Linked DNA regions of Kluyveromyces lactis. The protein of the gene in region 1 binds, or shares a complex with, the protein of each later gene. Links are inferred from orthologs where the notes say so. Each region holds a gene or a part of one and is shown in the gene's direction. Other genes may lie near its edges.

The links. The genes of interacting proteins can lie anywhere in the genome.
Region 2: the proteins of LAT1 (region 1) and PDX1 are in contact, whole or in part, in a cryo-EM structure (PDB 8OHS), measured with the Neurospora crassa proteins. The link is inferred for Kluyveromyces lactis from reciprocal best matches to the Saccharomyces cerevisiae genes LAT1 and PDX1. Residues at the interface, in XP_962786.1 of Neurospora crassa: Lys263, Lys266, Leu267, Gln269, Ala270, Pro453, Leu454; in XP_956161.2 of Neurospora crassa: Leu323, Gln326, Val327, Leu328, Lys332.

The regions. Positions count from the first base shown.
Region 1 is NC_006042.1:462,523-465,881, reverse strand, and holds LAT1 (dihydrolipoyllysine-residue acetyltransferase), read left to right. Parts: upstream 1-1,353; coding exon 1,354-2,775; downstream 2,776-3,359. Other genes in the region: ribonuclease H2 catalytic subunit RNH201, read left to right, coding at 1-520. UniProt on the Saccharomyces cerevisiae protein: The pyruvate dehydrogenase complex catalyzes the overall conversion of pyruvate to acetyl-CoA and CO(2).
Region 2 is NC_006041.1:864,297-867,391, forward strand, and holds PDX1 (Pdx1p), read left to right. Parts: upstream 1-1,307; coding exon 1,308-2,525; downstream 2,526-3,095. Other genes in the region: XKS1 (xylulokinase), read left to right, coding at 1-741. UniProt on the Saccharomyces cerevisiae protein: Required for anchoring dihydrolipoamide dehydrogenase (E3) to the dihydrolipoamide transacetylase (E2) core of the pyruvate dehydrogenase complexes of eukaryotes. This specific binding is essential for a functional PDH complex.

The DNA.
Region 1 (3,359 bases):
AAAGAATTACAATTTGAATGAACAGGCGCACGATGTGACAATCGCATTGATAGACGATGTATTGAAATCTGGTGTTAAAGTAGGTCACGTGTACGTCGATACCGTGGGTCCGCCTATCTCGTATCAAAAGAAATTGGAAAGTATCTTCCCACAGTGCAAATTCACCGTTGCGAAAAAGGCTGATTCTATTTACCCCATTGTAAGTGTTGCGAGTGTGGTAGCAAAAGTGACCAGAGATATCATCCTTTCACAATGCAAGAAAACCGAAGATGAAATCCTTGGGTCAGGGTATCCTGGTGACTCAAAAACCGTTCAATGGCTACGAAACGAGATGAAACCATTGATGGGATGGTCTCCCTACATGGTACGGTTCTCTTGGCAAACATGTGCCACGATGCTCGCAAATAGTAAATCTACCATCGAAATAGAATGGGAAGAAGACGCAATGACCAAGAAAAAAATGCAGTGGGCACCCGAACAGAAAAACAGACCTATTACACTTGATTCCTGGTACCAGTAAACCCTGACTCATTTCCATTTATCCTACTATCTATATATACAACGTATTATGAATTTATCTATTGACAGTCGCGACGCTGTCATCAGATTACGAAATAAGCTACCCGCATTCGAGATTTGCATTGCCTGGCACAATTGTGGCCACCGTTTAGGCCGCTGGCACTAGCCAAAAATTGACACTAGTAAACTCCCTACACCACATATTAATCGGTAAGTTACTCTACTCCATCAATTGTGAAAGCATTTATACAGCTCAAGAGCAGGTTTGGGATTGAGATAAATATCATCTCGAGAAATACCATTATATAAAGCTTTATAACTATCACGACGGAAACCCTTCTAGCAGCTATCAGTTTGCAGCGGATCACGGGCATGTTTCTGTTCATCCCACCTTCTATCCCGTCGCACCATTATAGTGTGGATATTTTGGATTTCGAAAATTCTGAAAACTGAAATTCTCAAGAAATAAAAGGAAAAAGGTTAGATGGGAGAACATTTATCTGTAAATAACATCGATTAGATTGCACAAGAGAAAAAAAAATGATTGTGATTCGCTAGTGCATTTGACGATACTATTGGAACACTGATTACACCTGTTGGTAATTGATCTCGCTTGAAAGAAGAAGATTGAAATAATACATCAAGCCTTTTCCTCCTTCATTTAGAACTGAGATATCAATATTTATTAAGGTTACATTTCACTACGAATTGGACACAGGAATTGACTGTACCAGAAGATAAAATCGGCTTACATTTGATATTCAATTGTATTAACCAAGTTACGGGAACGAATCAATTGTTTGTGTACATATATTAAGAAAAGAACTAGGAAAAATGTCTGCATTACTTTCTAGAGTTGCTCCAAGAATGAGCGTCTTGGCTTGTGCTGCCAGACTTCAATTGAGAACGTATGCTTCTTACCCACCATACACCATCATTGGTATGCCAGCTTTGTCTCCTACCATGGTTCAAGGTGGTTTGACGGAATGGAGTAAGAACGTTGGTGACAGGTTGGAGCCTGGTGATGTCCTTGCTGAAGTTGAAACTGATAAGGCTCAAATGGATTTCGAATTCCAAGAAGAAGGTTATTTGGCTAAGATCTTGGTTCCAGCTGGTACCAAGGATATCCCAGTGAACAAGCCACTTGCTGTTTACGTTGAGGAAGAATCTGACGTTCCAGCTTTCGCTAATTTCACTGCTGCAGACGCCGAATCTGCTACCGCTGCTAAGGAAGCTGCCAAGAATGGTGCTAAGCAACCTGCAAAGGAAGAATCCAAGGAAGAATCCAAGGAAGGTGCTAAACCAGCTTCTAAACCAGCTGCCAAGAAATCCTCTGGATCTTCTGCTTCTTCAGGTACTAGAATCTTTGCTTCTCCATTGGCCAAGAGCATCGCTTTGGAACATGGTGTTTCCTTGAAGGAAGTTGAAGGTACTGGTCCAAGAGGCAGAATCACTAAGGATGATGTTGAAGCCTTCTTGGCCTCGGCTCCATCTCGTGAATCCTCCGCTGCTAAGGCCGCTCCAGCCCTAGCTGCCCCAACTCCAGCATCCGCCACTTATGAAGATGTTCCAATCAGTAACATGAGACAAATCATCGGTGACCGTTTGTTGCAATCCACTCAAAATATTCCATCATACATTGTTTCCTCTCAAATTAGTGTTTCTAAGCTTTTGAAGTTGAGACAATCCTTGAACGCTACTGCTAAAGACCAATACAAGTTGTCCATCAATGACATCTTGATCAAGGCCATTGCTGTTGCTGCTCAGAGATGTCCAGATGCTAATGCTTACTGGATGCCAGAACAAGGTGTCATCAGAAAGTTCAAGAACGTTGACGTCTCTGTCGCTGTTGCTACCCCAACCGGTTTGTTGACTCCGATCGTCAAGAACGCCGAATCCAAGGGCCTTGTTTCCATTTCTAAGGAAATCAAGGACTTAGGTAAGCGTGCTAAGGATAATAAGTTGAAGCCAGAAGAATTCCAAGGTGGTACTATCTGTATCTCTAACTTGGGTATGAACCCTGCCGTTTCCATGTTCACCTCTATCATCAACCCACCACAATCTACCATCTTGGCTATCGGTACCGTTAACAAGGTCCCAGTCGAAGATGCTGGTTCCGAATTCGGCTTCACCTTTGACCAAAAGATGAATATCACTGGTACTTTCGATCACAGAACTATCGATGGTGCTAAGGGTGGTGAATTCATGAAGGAATTGAAGAAGGTTATTGAAAACCCATTGGAACTATTGTTATGAACAGATTCAGAACCTAACAAATCTAATGATCAAAAATAATAAAGTTAAGAATTTCAAAGTAAAGAAGAAAAAAGCCTACCCACCAACATTCCAAAACGAATTCTCCTAGTCGAAGTTTTTCGACCGTATGCCAATAGCCACGCTTTCCTTTTAACAACGTTGTAGGTCAGTTATGACTTATTCGACCCACAACCTTGCATGGAAAGAATTCGATTTAACATACTGCAACTATGTAAAAAATTACCATTTCTATAGATATAATGTAAGAAATTGAATATCTCATGTTTTTACCATTCCTCGCAATCGCTTTGCATAACAGCACTCTCTCCGATTTACTGTATATACTACTGAACTTATTCTCTCATAGCAGTCCCCAAGGTTCTTTTAATATTTTAGACCACGTGACTGTTTTTACATTGCCCGAAATACAGGAATAAAGTTGGAAAAAAAATGTTTACAAAAGAAGACAAGTTTGTGCTAACACTTTGACCAGGTAATGTATCTTAATTGCAGGCTCAGTTCCCTTGACCTCGTTGAACTTTAACCGTTAAGAGACAAACATTACCGAAAACAGATCCACCATG
Region 2 (3,095 bases), on another chromosome or scaffold:
TATTGTAACGGATCTCTGGCAAGAGAAAAGATAAGAGACGATATCAATGGAGAATCACAAACACATGATTGGACTAAATTTAACGAGGCATTGCTGGATAACTCATTATCTAACGATAATGAAATTGGATTATATTTCCCATTAGGCGAAATTGTTCCAAACATGGATGCTGTCACTAAAAGATGTTATTTCAAGTACATAGACAATAAAGTCGTATTGACAAATGTCAATATGTTCCCTGATAAGAGACTTGATGCAAAGAACATTGTAGAATCACAAGCGCTAAGTTGCAGAGTGAGAATTTCCCCGTTGTTATCCGAAGAGGCCAATGCGATCAACGAAACACAAGTGCTAAAATCAGAATTAAAGGTGAAGTTCGACTATGATTTCTTCCCCTTAGCGTCTTACGCCAAGAGACCTAATAGAGCCTTTTTCGTCGGTGGTGCATCAAAGAACGAAGCCATCATCAAAACGATGGCTAATGTCATTGGAGCCAAGAATGGTAACTACAGACTAGAAACTGCAAATTCGTGTGCTCTAGGCGGTTGCTACAAGGCGCTATGGTCCTTGCTCAAGGAGCAAAACCCCGAAACCCCATCGTTCGACCGATGGTTGAACGCATTCTTTAACTGGGAAAGAGATTGTGAGTTTGTTTGTAACTCGGACGCTGCCAAATGGGAAAACTACAACAACAAGATTCGAACTCTAAGTGAGATTGAAAGAGAAGCGTCATCACACTAAATCAAAAACGCTGTTAGATGAACCTCCAATTGACCGTGACGCATCAATAGCCATGATGCAAGTAAGTAAGTAAGTAAGTAAGTAGGCAATCAATCTTTGTACACATGATGAACCTCTCAAAGACATTACCCGGAAATCGTTATCCACTGTTTGTGAAAAAAAAAAAAAGTGTTATCCCACTAGAGACGACACAGTCCCCCACCCGACGGTTTTATACCGTTGAGATGAGACTATGGGAAAGGTTTAGAAATAAAGTATATATGTGAAAGATTGAATTGTCCAAGTACACAGAGCTTTGAACAAAGTTCAATTGAATACTTTTGTTGTCAATTGTTTCTGGGAGAAAGACGATTTTATCGACAATCTATTGGTAGAAAAAACGAAGTCTGTAAATTGGAAACCTATATTCGTCATTCAGCGAAAGAAGGTGGTAATTAAAAGTATCATTTACAATAGATAAGGACGACACAGATCAGAAAAGAAGCAAAACCATCCTTTGTTAGGCCTGTACGGAAGATATAGGAGAGAGACTGTAGTGTGTTTGTTGAAAAAACCTGTATTCAATAATGTTCCGTTTAGCAATTAAAAACAGGGCGTGTCTCCGTCAATTACACCAATGTAGAACTATGTTGAAGGCCCAAGCCTTTGGGATGCCTGCCATGTCACCAACCATGGAAAGGGGCGGTGTCGTTGATTGGAAGTTCAAAGCTGGTGATACTTTCTCTGCCGGTGATGTGCTCTTGGAGGTTGAAACCGACAAGGCAACCATTGACGTGGAGGCACAAGATGACGGTAAGCTTGCCAAAATTTTGAAGGAGAACGGTGCCAAGGATATTCCTGTCGGGGAACCCATTGCATACATCGCTGATGTGGACGATGATTTGGCCACTTTGGAGTTCCCAAAGCCCGTTGAAGCCAAGAAAGAATCAAAGCCAGTTGAAACTAAAAAGGAGGAGGCCAAACCAGTGGAAAAAACTGACAAGAAGAAGCAAACCAGTGCTTCAAAAACACCTTCTAAGAACGGCAGTGTTCAGGCTAATGCATCTCAAACATTATTCCCATCTGTGCTATCACTACTAGAGGAAAACAATATTTCAACTGCAGATGCGTTGGACAAAATCAAGGCCACTGGTCCAAACGGTAGAATCTTAAAAGGTGATGTGCTAGCCTATTTGGGTAAGATTTCCCAAGATTCGTTGAACAAGGTAACCGAGTACATCAAATCCCATGAGAAATTGGATCTAACCAACATCGAATTAAGACCTGCTAGAGAAACTGCAGCAGCAGCAGCAGCAGCACAAGCTGCTAAACCCGCTAAACCATTACCTCTAGTACTAAGCGAACAGATCACACTCCATGTCCCAGAAAACGTCACTTACTCCCAACTATCTGCTGCGATAGCATCGTACGTCAAGGAATGTTCATTCTTGGCACACGACGAACCATTGACCAATGACGCATCCGAACTATACGACCCATTATTCGAAGAGTTACTAGTACAAGAACCAACAAAACCTCGTTTCAAGGTCACTTATAACATAGTAGACTTGGAACCTACACCAAGACACCGTACCTCTTCACCACAACCAGATATCTTTGATTTATTATCTGGTACAACAACGCAAGAACTACAACAAGAGGCATCCGCAGTATCCAAACAACAACAAACACGTCACGAATACGCGTTGAACGTTTCCGTCGCCGTTGACGAATCGTTAACGGATGCCAAGCAAAGAGCAGAAAATTTCGTTGCCCAACTATCTAACTTGGAATTGTTCCAATGAGTAAAATTACGACAAGACATAAAGAGGAAAAAAAAACTAGAAGAAGCCGAAGCCAAATCTTCTTCGAAATATTCATGCCCCGTCCGCAAGCTGTATAGACTGGACTTAAGAGCCGGCAGATATATATCTATATTATCAGTATAATAGACAAAAAAACGACAACTCAAGAATTCAACCAAACAGGCACTTCAGACTTCTTTATGGTCTTGGCACAGTAAAGAAGATCAAAAAGTAACATCAAAAATTACTGCATCATATTTTCGCAGAATACCAACCTGGCACCAGTGCCCTATTCAGACTAAGCAGCTTTCCATTCCAAAAATACCAGTAGCCTAACTAAGCGAGATGCAAGCGAAATGCGAGATGAAATGAAACCCAAATAAAAAAAAAAAGACACAAACAAACAGGAACAAAATTGCGCGTTTTTCCCCACAGAACAGCACGTAATGTGTACCGTTTTTTGTTTTTCGTTTCAAGTACAAAAAAAACAAAAAACGGTACGCTGTTCACGTGTCTGAAAAACCAGGAACCGTAAAAGGATATTCCGTTAGCCAACAAAAAAATAGGTAA